2 linked regions of the Pelodiscus sinensis genome follow. The protein of the gene in region 2 purifies or fractionates together with the protein of the main gene of each other region. This does not show direct contact. Links are inferred from orthologs where the notes say so. Each region holds a gene or a part of one and is shown on either strand. Other genes may lie near its edges.

What was found. Proteins that work in one complex are often made in the same cells at the same time.
Region 1: the proteins of ZNF830 (region 2) and PPIL2 purify together in Homo sapiens (co-immunoprecipitation; 4 studies listed by BioGRID and IntAct, counting the BioPlex papers as one, with this or other methods). This does not show direct contact. The link is inferred for Pelodiscus sinensis from reciprocal best matches to the Homo sapiens genes ZNF830 and PPIL2.

Annotation. Positions count from the first base shown.
Region 1 is NC_134725.1:17,530,033-17,537,981, forward strand, and holds the start of PPIL2 (RING-type E3 ubiquitin-protein ligase PPIL2), read right to left. Parts: upstream 3,088-7,949; 5' UTR 2,898-3,087; coding exon 2,866-2,897; intron 1,616-2,865; coding exon 1,566-1,615; intron 182-1,565; coding exon 136-181; intron 1-135. UniProt on the Homo sapiens protein: Has a ubiquitin-protein ligase activity acting as an E3 ubiquitin protein ligase or as an ubiquitin-ubiquitin ligase promoting elongation of ubiquitin chains on substrates.
Region 2 is NC_134712.1:149,974,760-149,982,060, forward strand, and holds the start of ZNF830 (zinc finger protein 830), read right to left. Parts: upstream 3,084-7,301; 5' UTR 2,104-3,083; coding exon 1,987-2,103; intron 953-1,986; coding exon 857-952; intron 1-856. Other genes in the region: BAG1 (BAG family molecular chaperone regulator 1), read right to left, coding at 6,445-6,534.

The DNA of each region.
Region 1 (7,949 bases), on a different chromosome or scaffold from region 2:
AAATTTCAATTCTTGCTGAACTGTTGGTGGTGCTGCATGAAGGCATATTTTCTCTGATGTCTGTCTGTCCTACTGACCACCACAGTAAACATGATTTGGTCAACGGTTCAAGACAAGAACGATATTATGTCTTACCTGCAGTGATCAAAAGATAAACGCCTAAAATTTGCTTGTGGAATATCTGTTTAAAAAAATAAAAAGCAAAAGAACTTTTTATAAATCCAGAATAGTTTGGGCAGTAAACTTGCTTCTGATACTAATGATTAATACTAGGTGATATATATTTGGAAATTACTGTTTTCGATATATCAAGTTGGCAATTTGGTCCTGACAAAGATAAACAGTCTAAATCCTGTGAAACTAACAAAAATAAAAACTTGACAAACCAGTGCAGAGCAAACCCAAACTCTATTCCACAAATAAAATGGGAAGAGTTAGAAAAGTATTCTTTTAAAGTAATTGAGATACGCCTTGGCCTATCCTTCCACCCTGTCAAATTCTGAAGGTTTTATAGCTACATTATCCCCCTTTTTAAAAATGTTCTTGTCCGTTTTTAAAATTTGCACAGACATCAAAGGTCAAATGTTCCATGAAAGTAAGTTTGAGGAAGGCATTCCAAGCATGAAATTTTAAATCTTAAAAAAAGGGTGGAGATGCAAGAAACAAAAGAGGTTTACGCTGACATCAGGGAGCCGGAGGGGATGAGGAAAAGAGATGGAACACAGGGCTCTGTAGGCAAAGTCACGGAGTTTAGGTTTGGTGGACATAAAGTGAGAAGCTTGGGATGACGTGGTGGAAATAAGAGCATTTTGGTTTTGTGGACATGGTTAACATTAGAGACCTGAAAATAGATTACAAGTGTAGATGTTGCTAGGACATGAATGAGAAATTCAGTTATAGGGAGAGAAATGAGTGAGATTTTCAAATTCTGTGGAGGACAAGACTCAGCCGAAGTCTGACTGTAAGGGGAGAAGTGTGGAATCAAATATAACACCCAGGTTACAAGCATCAGGATCCCACTGTAACTGCTTTGATGTAGCCAAACTGAGATTGAAATGGCAGTGAACTATACAGGATGACATTTCCAGGGATAATGGAAAGAGCAAAGCTAAGAAAAGGATATAAGCCCAGAGGGAAGAAGAATATTTAAAAGTCATTCATGCAAAAGTGATCTGTAATTGCATGTAAACACATGAAATAATCAGGGGAGAAGGCACAGTCGGCAAGGATGGCACCCTGAAAGAGTCCAACAAAATAAAAGGGTAAACAGAAAAAGAGGTACCGAATGCATGTTTGGAAAGTCAGAGCAAGATCCAGGAAAGGATTCAACCAGGAAGGAAAGGAGGATAGGACACAATAAAAGAGAGAGCAGTCAACAAGTTTAAAGGCAACAGAAAGAGGGGGAGCATGGCAAGCAGGCCTTGAGACTTAGCCAAGAGGTCTTTCACAACTTCAATGAGAGAAGAATAAGGAAGAGAAAAACAGACATCAGCACTGAAGTGTGAACATATGTACAAATCAGAAATAATTGTGAAAAATAACAAAAAGAAAACACAGTAACTTACCTGCTTTCTTTCCTCCATAAAAGTGTGTATATTCTGCACATGTTATGTACCTAAAGAGTAAAGCAGTGTTAATGCTTAATACATTGCACTAATGATATTTAGCAGAAACCAATGATTTTTCAAACTGAAAGTTATATTAATAAGAGATATTAAACATTCTTAGCTACCTTTTTTACACTTTTACCCAATATAGCCAACTCTGATATTAGGTGTCACACCTCAATGTTCCCAATACGAAGAGCTTTGGGGCAATACCACAAAAAAAGAGAAACATACTATGTTGCCACCATATCATGCCAGAGACCAAGTTATAACACAGATGACACTTTTGTTTGCTTTATTGTCACTACGGATGATTCCATAACAACATCTGGAAACTGTGCATTAAGCCTTGAAGCAAAGGAACAAGGTTGACCCACAAGTCACTATTATAGCTTTTGTTCTATATTTACCACGCCAAACTTTTCTTCAGTGCCTAACACAGATACCCCAACTCCTGACCAAGCTGTGAGCTTACAAAAAGCTCTCGTACAGAACACAAGTTCTTGGTTCTATCTAGCTTCTTCTGGATCTGGGAGAATAAAGAACTAGCCGGGGGAAGGGGCACAAGAAAAAAGATTCACATTAAGTGAAAGATGTGAATCTGAAGTGCCATTTAAATCCCTTTGTAGAAACTGAGTTGACACACAGATTTAAGTTGCATCACTTCAAGTTCACACCTTCAATTAATCTGTATTAACTTTCCCAGACATCTCGGTACAGACAAATTCTAAGTATCTTCAAGCTACAGGTGTTAAAATGTGTTTATTTAAAATGCATAAATTTTCAGCGAGTACACGTTTACATACGCGGGTGGGAGGAAACAGGAGCTAGTGCTCCTTGCACATACTGGCTTCCACGCCTGCCACCGCCCCCCCGCCTCTGTTAGAAGGGGGGGGAGAAAGGCCCCTTAGTGTGTAATCGTGTAACCAGGGGGAGCAGCTGCCTCTTCGCACCTGCCACTTATGCCCCTGCGCCACCCTCCACCCCTTCATTAGACTAACGGCGCCTAAACCCTGCTCCTGCCGGCCCCGCCCGGGCAGCGCTCGTGGGGGAGAGCCTGGAAGGGGTCGGTCCCGCCACTGGCTCAGAGGACGCGCCGCTCCGCGCGGCTTAGCGGGCTGCCCGCGAGACAGCCGCACGCGCGGGCTCGGACCCCCACGGCCTGTCACGCCCGACAGCGGCCTGGACCGCGGGGAGCCAGGCCCGGCCACTGTCCGCGCGCCTTGAGCCCCGCCAGAACAGCCCCCCCCCTCCTCACATCTTGTCCTTCTGGTGCTGCCTCTTCCCCATGGCGGCGGTTCTGGCTCTTCCCCGGCGCAGGAAACGCGCCCCCTGCCAAGGGGGGACCCCGAAGTGAGGCGGACCAGCGAGCTCCGGCAGGCCAGCTCCCCCAGGGCTAAGCCGGCTGTTCCGGGCACCTCAGCGACTTCCGGTAGTACGGCGTGCGCCGCTAAACTAGTCACGCCGTACAACCCGGGCGCCCCAAGCACCGTTCCGGAAAGAGCCGCGGCCGTGTGAGACGCCGCTACTCGTAGCAGTTTCTGATTGGTACGCTCGTAAGGATCGGCTCCTATAATATATTGCTCCCGGAAGTAGCACCATCTTTGCATAGAGCTGCTCCTGGTAGCAATTACTGACAGGTTTGATTGTAAGACAGCTGCCCTTATAAGACATTGCTACCGAATGCAGCGCAACCCTACAGGGAGCAGCTACATAGTTATAAAGTGTAAGAAACTGCTAGGCTACGTCTACAGTGGCATGTGCCTTTGCGCAAGAGCATTCGTGCCAGTGTAGACACTCTCTTGCACAAGAAAGCTCCAATGGCCATTTTAGCTATCGGGCTTTCTTGCACAAGAAATTCATGTGGCCTGTCTACACTGGCCTCTTGCGCAAGAACAGTTGCACAACAGGGCTTACTCCTGAGCAGGAGCATCATAGTTCTTGCGCAAGAAGCCGTCAGTGTTCTCGCGTCAGTGTTCTCGCACAAGAACTCCCCGCCAGTGTAGACAGGCAGCATGTTTTTGTGGAAAAGCAACTGCTTTTGCGCAAAATCATGCCAATGTAGACACAGTCCTATTGTTAAACACTAATACCAGAGGTAGCCAATTTCTATAGACCCAGTGATTGTTGTCATGTTTCAGGCTTCTTGCCCAGTGCTCCAGTTGAGGATTAATCAGTGCAAAGTACAGCACATTCTTTACTTATTGCATCTTGCTTACAACACAGGTTTGCCATTTTTGCCTTTATACTGTTGACTGGTATTTAGTATGTGGCCCAAACCACTTGCAAACCCCTCTCCATGTGTTATCATTCACAAACTTAATAAGGACACGCTCTAAGCAGAGGTGACTGATGAGGGGGGGATGTGGAGGGCCTGGACTAGAGAACCCACACATCTATTCCTCCCCTTTCTGGCTCTGCCCTTGCCCTGCCTCATCCCCACACATACTGGCAGCATCAGGGGAAGCACAGTAAGGTGGCTCCAGCTCTCTTTGCTCCCCAGGTTACATCGCTCTGCTTCTGTCCACATGTTTTGGGGGATTGTTACTGTTATTGCCCCTCCCGCATCTCAAAGCCATTATCTAAAGCAGTGACAAAGATTTTGAATTGAAATGGATCTAGAACTGATCACTGCAGGACAACACTCATTATGCCCTTATAGCATCACTGTAAACTACTGATAACTACACCCTGGGCACTATTTTCCGAACAGTTTGGCACCCACCGTATTGTAGCTTCATCATGGTTTCATTAGTACCAAAAACATTGCTAAAGTCAAGCTATACCATGTCAATCACTTCCCTCCCATTCAAAAGGCATGTTACCTTGTCAAAGCTATCACGTTAGTTTGACATGACTGCTTATTTATTTGCTCTATCTTTCCCAGTACACAAATGAATATCCTTATTGCCCTTTTCCAGTTTTCTGGAAACTCTGCCATCTTCCATGACTTCAAAGATAATAGTTAATGGCTCAGGTACCAGCTTAGTCATCTCTTTGCGTATTCTAGGATGTGTTCCATCAGACTCCAATGACCCGAAGACATCTAATTTCTCTAAATAATTTTTAACTTGTTCTTTTCCTTTTTTTGCATCTAATCCTACCTCATTGTCTCTGGTCTACACTATGTTTAGCATCCAATCACCACCAACCTTGTTGGTGAAACCAAAACAATCCATTAAGCACCTCTTTCATTTCCACATTTTCTTTTATTGTTTTTCCCCCTCATAGAATAGGCCTACCCTGTACTTTGGTCTTTTCTATACAATGTGTTCTTGTTACCCTTTTTGTCTCTAATTAGAATGAGGTTGCTTTGTATCTCGGCCTTTCTAATTTTGTGCCTAAACACTTGTGTTGTTTGCTTATATTCATCCTTGTAGTTTGACCTAGTTTACAACCTTTTGTGGGACTCTTTCTGGGTTTTTAGATCACTGGGGACACCATGGATAAGCCACAGCTCTCTCTTGCTGTACTTCTAGGCTATATCTACGCTATAGCCTCTTGCGCAGAATATGCAAATGAGGCAAAGCATGGACTATCACAGTGCCTCATTTGCATAATTAATCAGGCTCCTTTTTTGCACAAGAAGCTTTTACGCAAAAGGGAGCCATCTATACCACTCCTTTTTGTGCAAAAACCCCTCTTGCACAAGAGCTGTTCGTCTGCATTTTTTCAGAAAGAATGGCTCTTGCACAAGAGGGGGTTTTGCGAAAAAAAGGGGCCATGTAAATGGATTCTTTTTGCGCAAATGCTTCTTGTGCAAAAATGGAGCCTAATTAATTATGCAAATGAGGCACAGCAATATTCCACGCTTTGCCTTGTTTCCATATTTTTTATGAAAAACAGGGGCATTATAGATATAGCCCTAGTCTTTTCTACCCAATGGGAAAAACTGCCAGCTGTCTTCAAATTTCCTCCCCCTCCCTCGTGAACTTGCTTCCTATAGGACCTTATCATCTCCATGAGTTTGCTAACATCTGTCCTCTTTAAATCCATTGTCTTTATTTTGCAGTTCTCCCTGCCCCTCTTCCGTAAAGTTATTAACTCAGTTGTTTTATGATTACTTTCACTCAAAGTGCCTTTCACTTTTGCATTCTCAACCAGTTTGTCATAACCAAATCTAGAACAGCTCCCCTAGAAGCTTTCTCCATTTTCTGAAACAAAATATCGTCTCCAATTCATTCCAAGAACACGTCCTGCTGTGCTATTTTCCCATCAGATGTCTGGATAGTTGAACTTTCCCCATGACTATGATAACGTAAGGTGGTTGTTTGCTGATATGCCCTGATTAGTTATAAACTTGTATCTGATGTATACAGCATTTTTTTTTTTTAGATAAGACGACAACATTTGCATGCAATACTCAAGATGTGGGTATACCATGAAGTTATATAGAAGTAATAAGATATTATGTGTCTTTACGCTATCCCTTTTTTTATTATATCCAATAGTCTGTTTGATTTTTTGACTGCTGCTGCACATTGGTTCTCTGGAAACACCCACTCATTCACAATGACTGCAAGTTCTGTTTCTTGAGACTCACTCTCCTCAACAGCACAGAGGCTGTGTGACCAGGGATGGGATCATTCTCTTGAGTCCTGGAAAGTCTCATCTATGAATCTCTCTGCATTCCTTAGCTCCTCCAATTCAGCCATCATGGTCTTCCAAAGTCCTTGGGGGTCAGGAGCTCCTTGCACCTACATATAGGACAAATAATCATACATGCTACATTGAGTGCAATGAATAGGATAGGATAGCCCCCGCTGTTGGTGATGGGCTTGTTCCTGCATTCTCTTTTTAGTCTTAGAGCTTATCCTTTTAAAGTTTTTATTTTAAAGAAGTGTAAATACTGTTAAGTGTTCAGTGTACATAGCCCCTGTAAGAGCACATCTATGCTACAGGGAAGAACTCAGGACACTGCTGCAATTGCAAATGTGAATTTCTGACATTTAAAATTTAGTTTAATAAAATGTAAGTGCTCTTGTGTTTGTATGTGTGATTTAGTTCTTATTCCTAATGTGCTGCACCTGCAGCAACTGCAGCTTGACATAGATAATGAGTATTATGTACTATTTCCAAAACTGCTAAAAATCAAGTTATCTTAAAAAAAATCAAAGTACAAGTTCAACCTCTGGTTTGGGACTCTCAGATGTTGCTGGACTAGTTGTAGCAAACATGCATATTTTGATACTGATTATAAGATTATAAGTATGATACATAATGATTTGATGTAATGACTTGCTTATAAGTTCTATAGCTTCTATTTCTCTCTGTGTATCTCTCATGATTAGATAATGTTCAGTGTAAGGCCTTGCTCCCTGTTCAGTATTGCCAATTAAGTTGTACCCCTTTTAGTTATTGATCTTGTTTGAAATTCTATACAATTGTTTGGTATGAATGGAGGGGATGTGTGTGAAAGATGCCCAGGTGATCAAGGAGAAGTGGAAACTTTGAAACATCCATTGTTTCTTGAGGCTGAATTGAATTGGCAGCATTGACAAACCCTGGAGACAGGCAGAGACCCCCACCAAGAGTGAGAAACAATAATGAGAACACCGCCTAAGGGCGGATGACACTGCAAAACCCACAGACTCCAACTGATATGGATAAGAAGGGAAGCCCTTGCCATGGGACTCTGGGTTCCGTCCTGCAAGCCAAGCCTCGGGGGAGTCTCAGAGGAACCCCGACTCCTCACTCAGTCAGCCTTGCTTAGCCAATAGGACTGACTTGAGCCACCATGGACTGGTAACTATGCCCCATCTGCAGGACACGTGTGTGTGTTTGTGTGTGCGTGCGTGTCTTTATAAAGCATTTGCTAACTGCTTCTCTACTGTATTCTCAATAAACACGGTGTATTGCCTTCTCCCTGAAAAAGATCCCATGTAATCTACTTGCCTGTGGTGAGTAGATTTTAGCCCAGCACGGCTGCGCAGCGTGGACAGTGCATGCGCAGCGTGCAGTTCCGCGCGGCTGGCAAGTGAGGCTCGCTGCTGCTTGGTGAGCCCTGGGTATTAATATTTTTTCTATATTGCATTATAGAGCAACATTATACTTCTCTAGTTCTCATTTATATATCAGAAGTCTTATTTGCAGAAAACTTTTCACAAAATCACTATATAATGTACATTTTAGTTACATAACAGGACTATGCACACTACTAGGGATGTGAAGAACTAGTCAACGATCCGATAAGCAAATGCTTATCAGATAGTCTACAAGCTTGTCTATCAAAAAGAGACAACAAGGGGAGGGAGTGCTTCAAAGAGGCAGCGCCACATGGAGCCTGGGACCAGACCCTGGGCTCCACACGGTGCTGCCACTTTGAAATGCCACGTGCAGCTT
Region 2 (7,301 bases):
TTGACCATAATATAATAACATTCAACATTTCTGTGGTGGGAAGAACACCTCAGCAGTCCAGCACCTTGGCATTTAAATTCAAAAAGGGGAATTACACAAAAATGAGGAGGTTAAAAGGCACAGTGACTGTAGCCAAATCCCTGCAAGCTGTATGGAAACATTTTAAAGACACCATAATAAAAGCCCAACTTAAATGTATACCCCAAATTAAAAAACATAGCAAGAGACCTAAAAAAGAGTCACCGTGGCTTAATCACCATGTAAAAGAAGCAGTGAGGGACAAAAAGGTATCTTTTAAGAAGTGGAAGTCCAATCCTAGTGAGATAAATAGAAAGGAACATAAACACTGTCAAAAAAGTGTAAAAATGTAATAAGAAAAGCAAAAAAAGATTTTGAGGAAAAGCTAGCCAAAAACTCAAAAAGAAACAACAAAATGTTTTTTAAGTACATTAGAAGCAGGAAGCCTGCTAAAAAACCTGTGGGTCCCCTAGATGATCGAACTATAAAAGGAGCGATCAAGGACGATAAAGCCATTGCAGAGAAACTAAATGATTTCTTTGCTTCAGTCTTCACGGCTGAGGACGTTGGGGGAGATTCCCAAATCTGCACCGTCCTTTGTGAGTGATGAATCTGAGGAACTGTCCTGGATTGAAGTGTCATTAGAGGAGGTTTTGGAACAAATAGAAAAACTTAATGTTAACAAATCTCCGGGACCGGATGGCATTCATCCAAGGGTTCTAAAAGAACTCAAATGGGAAATTTCTGAACTTTTATCTAATCTATAAGTTGTACAACTTACTCAAACAGAAGGATTATGAATTAACTCATAAATGTTGCTGTATCTTCAAAGTCTTACCTCTTTGTGTTGTTTCCCAAGTATGTGAGTTTGCCACAAAAGTTCATTCTTAATCTGAGTGTTGCACAATGTACAACTTAAGTGTCCTAAACGGTTATATGTACATTTCAAAGTTGAGGAAATATTTCAAGATCACACAGTCTTCAAAATTGTAATTCTGAATTTCCAATTTGTAGATAATTTAAAAACACTATTTTCAAAGGGGGAAGTGAAGCCCACGATGTAGGTATTTTTTTTAAATGTCATTACTATTACATGCCAGAATTTTATAATTTTTTGTATACCAATAAAAAGCTATTTCTGTTTAAAGACTCCCGTGTCGTGTAAACAAAACATTATGCTGTCATATGCAGGAGTACCCAAATTGTTACCTCTGACAAAAAAAATTGTAAGATGGTACATGAACCAATAAAATTTAGGAGCCACTTTAGAATTGAAGCCATGTCTAAAAACATGTGAAATTGACAGATAGCATCACTGTCCACGCTGGCTAAGAGCAAAGCAAAACATCACTGTAACAATCTCTTCAAAGCTGCAACACACTGCTAAGGAAAGCAGGGAAACCAGCCCCTAACCAACCAACGTTCTCTGTAAGTGGAGCACCAAATGCCGCTCGGCAACGCCCATAGCCAGCAGCTTGTGTTTCTATTGGTGGTGGCATCCTTACATACCTCAGCGCACCTAACAAAAGTTATTCCGCACATGGGGGGGAGGAAGGGGAGGGGGCATTGCCCCTGCGCCCGGGCCTGTCACTGTTCGGGGGGAGGGGGCTGTACAAGCCCATGCACCTCTGCAAATGTTTTACAGTTTGAGGGTGGCGGGAGCGTCGCAAACTCGACACTTGCCGGGAGCCCAGAGCAGCCCGGCCGGCCCTGCAGCCGCCAGGAAGAGGAGGGGGCTGGCGCAGGGGCAGGTGGGACCCTGCGTCCGGGGCGGGGCGGGGCGTTGGAGGAGAACACCGCGGACCAGCCCGGCACGAGGTTGCCGAGCGCGAGACACAGGCCAGCAGGGAACCGCGCGGCGGCGCGAGACGGGCTCCCGGCGAGCACTAAACAACGACTCCCCTTCCCGCAATGGGGGTGTGTGTGGCCCCTCATACGTGCACGGGTCGGGGGGGGGGAAGCGGAAGGATATTTAGCGAACGGCGCCTCGATTCGCTTCTTTCCGGCGCCCTGTCGCTGCTTCTCCCGCATGAGACGCCGCAGCTCGTCCTGCTGTACCAGCTTCCGCCCCGAGCCCGACGCCATCTTGGCCCGGAACTGCCTCCGGAGACGCAGCCACTTCCGGCGGAAGGGGGAGACACACCAAGTCCCGCCTCTTCCCCCGGTCTTGCGCTAGGGGAAGGGCGAAGCTAGACGCGGAGTTGCTATGGCACGTGCCTCTTCCTTCCTGTCCTAGTGGGGCGCGAGCTCTGGCCGCGGGAGCCTGCGTCCGTTGCGGGGGCGCGCTGCACGTGGCGGGGCTACTGTCCTGAGAGCGCCCCGCCCCCAACGCTAAACGCCGCCGCGGTGGGAAAGCAGAAGGGAGGCAGCGGGGGCGTCTCTCCCCCCCTTGGAGCCACTCGTCTTGCCCCGCCCTGAGCCCTTGTCCAGGGCAGAGCATTAGCTGGTGTCTCCGTGGTGCAAACACTGGAGCTGGTTCCGTGTGTCACTGGCTTTGTTGTCGCAGCTTCACGCAAGTCAGGGTGGTCACGTCAGAGACAGGCTTCCTGCCCGGCCGCTCAGAGCAGCACACGTGGTTCTGTTAGAAAGCTGCAGATGAAGATTTTGGGAAGCCCAAAGGACGGGTTTCCTTAGCAGTTGACTATGCAAACCCATCGTCACCCCCCACCCACACTTTTTTAAAATTCAGCACTTTGCCTGAATTCAAAGCATCGTTTTGTTTAGAGGAGTTAGGTTACAACACTGATTGAGCCCCCTGGCCAGGCTTTAACAGCCTGAAATTGTTTTGAATGCTCTGTGAGAAGCCTAAACTATAAGTACAGCCGGTCCCCAAGTTGCAAACGGTCAAGTTACGACTGTTCACGTTTACGACTGCTCCATGGAAGTTTTGGTCGTAAAGGCGGTCCCTGAGTCAGAACACAACCTGGGCTTGCAAACAGCGTGGTCACTATGTAACTCAATGGGGTCCGAGTTACGAACAGATCACGTTACGGCCTTGGGGAGAGGCTGTACACATTTTTATAGATATCACTAACTTTCCTATACATCTGACCATCCCCTCCCCAGCAGCTAATCAAGAGGATACTGGGCCTTAAATCTATCGCTGCTTTCTCCTTTTATAATTGTTTGGTTTTGTGCGAAAATAGAGTTTGGCAAGCACTTGTCTATATCTTCCATTGTTCATGCCAGCCTCAGTAAGTGAAACATTCTTAATTACTTACATCATTATAGGAAGAGATGTGCCAAGGTATCCTATTCATAAGAAGTAATACAACTCCGTTACAAGTAGATTCTCTAAAATGGTGTTTCTCAACTAGTGGTATAAGAGAAGTCTTGGGGGTACATCAACACAACTGAAAATTGGAGAAAACTGAATTTTTGTTTTGTAAAGTTTTACAGCACTTTATTACTTTTGTACTTTTTACACCCAAAAATTTCATCACCTGCCAGGCTATGATTAAGTTGTTTAAACAATGGTAGAAAAAAAGTGTGTCTGAAAACTATAGGTACTGGGGGTCCCTATAAATTTTTTAAAGGGGGGTACTTATAATTTTTTAAAGTGGTACTTTATAAAAAAGGTTGAGAAACACTGCTCTAAAACTTACATAGAATGAAGTTGCTATACATTTAAGTACAGAATCAACAGTCAATAGATTAATCAGCATGAGTTCTGTACTATATCACAATAATCACAAAAACAAACATTTATTGTATTTTCCATATTTAATTTTATTTCCCTCCTTCATTTACTGTAGCTCAATAACTGAAATAAAAATATCCAGCCAAATTCTGTACTGTCCCATGGGCCAATGCAAATTGAGAATAACTCCAATGAAGTCAAAAGAATTATTACAGATTAACACCACTATACTAGCAGCAGAAGTTGGGTCATAAAGAACACCACTAAAAGTTTGATATTTTAAGTTACTCAGACGTTTAGGAGCAAGAGATTCTATAATTCTGAGGTTCTGTAGCTCAAAGAATGTTGTTAGTTTTGGCATGCACCTCCTGGGGCTCTTGTACATTTCAAAAGCAGGGAGAACAGGCCAGCAGGGGACTGAGAGTCCCCAGCTTGCCCCAGGCTCCCCACAGTGCTTCTGATCTTGCTATGTTTCAAATGCAGAAGTGCTGCTAGTTCCCCATTGCATCCCCTCCCCTTTTCCTCACAGAGACAGTGTTGGGGGGAAATGGCTTTTAAGCTGGCTCCGCACAGCACCGAATTCTGCTTCCCTCTCTCCCTCCTTGCTGCCTGTCTCTAATGGGGGGGAGTGACTATTTGAGTCAACTATCGGATAAGCATTTGCTTATCAGTCAACTAGTCACTTACATCCCAAGGATGAAGAACTACTAAGGAACAGCATTTATATCTAACCCTGCCCAGCCCAGTTCTGCTCAAAGAGGGAAATCGGTCTCTATTACATGAACCCCTAAAAGTTTACTAAATTAAAATCATGATTATATTTAGAGCAGGTGAGGACTAATTCCTCACTTGATAAAGAGTTTGATCCTGCACCCACTGAATTCATTGGTAGTTTTGCCATTGATTTCAATGGTAGCAGGATCTGTCCCAGAAGCAACACTGGCTATACTGAATCAGAGCATCACTGAAATGAATACAGGTCTGCTCCTCTCCATAGCATTGCAGTCCCAAGCAAATATGGCAGCATGACCATACTGCTAGCCCTGAATGCTATCACAGTAACCAGAAAATATAATTACTTCCTATCTTAAAAACAGCTTTCTAAGGATTAGTAATGAAAAACAAAATACATTCATTTCAAATCAAGAGCTTATCCGTCAAGTTTCAGTCTACTGCAGATTTTACAGACTATCATAAGTGAGTGTACTATGGTAAACTGATAAAACCTTAAAGAAATACTGCAATTTAACAGAAAAATGCAATGTAACTGAAAAATATGTTCACTTCATCTAATTATATTTGGTATAATATAACATTTTAAAAAACTTTATAACAAACTACTAACTGTTAAAAAGATACAGAAGTGCCATATTGCCCATCTGCTAACAGATTGCGACACTAACAATTTTCCTCTGATTATGACTGTAGGAGAAATATTAGAGGACTATCACTATTTTGAGATCTTATTTTATTAGGAATTATTTAACATAACTGAAATATGTTCAATGCTTATATTTTCATTTTTTTTTCTGGTAAAGAGAACTTACCTTAAAACAGTCGTAAAACACAGAGATTCTCATGCTCTCATCTGGCAAGCAATGCAGAACACCCTTAACTTTCACAGAATCCAGAGAGAGTTAAGGGAGCTTGTTTGCCACCAGATCAAGTGCTTGTTGATAAATGCTTTCTTGGTCACAAACTGCCACATGTCACACAGGACTTCCAAGTAGAAATAGCAGTGAAATGGCAACTCTTGTTAAAGAGATGCTATCAGTGGCAGAATATTTTTAAAAAATTGTTTTACAATTTTACTTTATAATAGACATTAGATTAATAAATATTCATCCACTAACTCCAAAGGGAACAGAGATAATTACTTGCAATTTTCTCTAAAATACAGCAAATCAGTGAAACAGTCAAAAATACTCTGATAAAATAGCACCATTTTCAGAGCTTGATTGGACTGCCCACTTCTTATATAAGCAACATGAATTATCCAGTTGCATTTCACACCATTACTCAAAGGAAAAGTATACTACAGAAAACAAATACACGCTGTGTACACAGTATAACAAAATACGTATCAAGAAAAAAGTGCCAATGCATTCACTGAAAATTAAACAGTTAAATTAAGTACCATACATGTTACAGTACATTCCATTTATTTTGATAGTTTAAGGCTAAAATAGTTACAACCTCCACTGTAGTCAAGTTTTCCTATGCTTATGAACACATACAAGTATTAAACTGGTACAGATGCAGGATACTATTTATTGCTCTAAATGTTCTATTCGAATGCTAGATGTCCCAACTATTGTATAAACCTGCTTTTTTCAGTCAAGCTAAAGTCCTACAACTGCAACATATGCTCTTGTACGGTTTTCAAACTTCTTGAGCTGCAAATAATTTTGAAGACATAATGGAAAAGATAAGAATTGAGAAAAACTTAATTTAAAAAAATGTCTTTGTAAAAAGAATATAATGATCCAAACTTGCCCACCTCTTGGAACTGTATAATGTGCTACAGTATGTAGTTAACTAAAACATGCATCACCACCCATCAAAGACTTTTTTTCTTCAGGAAGGATTGTTTTCTTTTGAAAAGAATAGCTTTGAATGAGTGGTAAATGTGACAACCAGCAAGTAATGAGTGACTAGTACCAGTCTAAACAGACTGGGCTTAAAAAAAAACCACCAAATAGCTGAATATGTGCTCCAAAACAAAGAGCAAACTCCTCTTCTTGCTCACAGAGCAATTATTTCTCCTATTTATCAAGAGTGATGCCTCATTCTGCCAGAGCCAAGTTCTTTGATTGTAGCTTATCCATTTCTTGACCAATACTTCCTTCAACAGTATCACACTGGGCAAGAAAAGCCTGAGAATAAAATTAACACACACAAAAAGTTAAGAGTGCAAATTACTCTAGAATGACAAACTGCTTCCCAATAATTTTTTTAATTGGAATGTTCCTATTATGAAGTTGGAAGTAAAGTCAACTCCAGTTTCTTTTGGCTTCTGCAATGGTCACAACTTTTGCTAGAACTTAAGTGAACAGAAAATTTCCTTCATTCATTCATTCCCCAGTAGAAATCTAATTTATCAGCTCAATGAAAACAGCAGTGCCAACAGATCAACAGTATTTAGCATCACCAATCAGCAATTGGGGGGAGAGGGGAAGAGAACACGCTCGGACAAGTGGTGACCTGCTTTTTGTTGTTAACTATAATCCCCTTTCCTATTTTCTCATGTATATAACATGTCTAACACCAATACTGCAAAGTCCACTTAAAGCTGTACCAAACCAAACTAAGCAATCTTCACTAAACCTATAAATCAGAGGTGGAGAACTTTTTGGGTTGGGGGCCACTGACCCACAGGAAAATCAGTTGGGGGCTGCACACAAATGAGAAACAAAAAAAACCAACAAAAAACTACCCTGTCTGATGTGGTCCCTGACTGAGAAGGAGAATGACACTTCCCATATTCCCCTGGTACACCAGAGCCTTGGAGGGCTCAGGCTAGTAGATTTTGTATGCTCCAGCCCTGCAGGAGGATGGCAGGGGAGTTGGAGCACCATGCGGGCTCCCTAATGCTGTGGGAGGTAGCTTCGAGCCTTTGGGGCCAGATCCAGCCTCCGGGCCT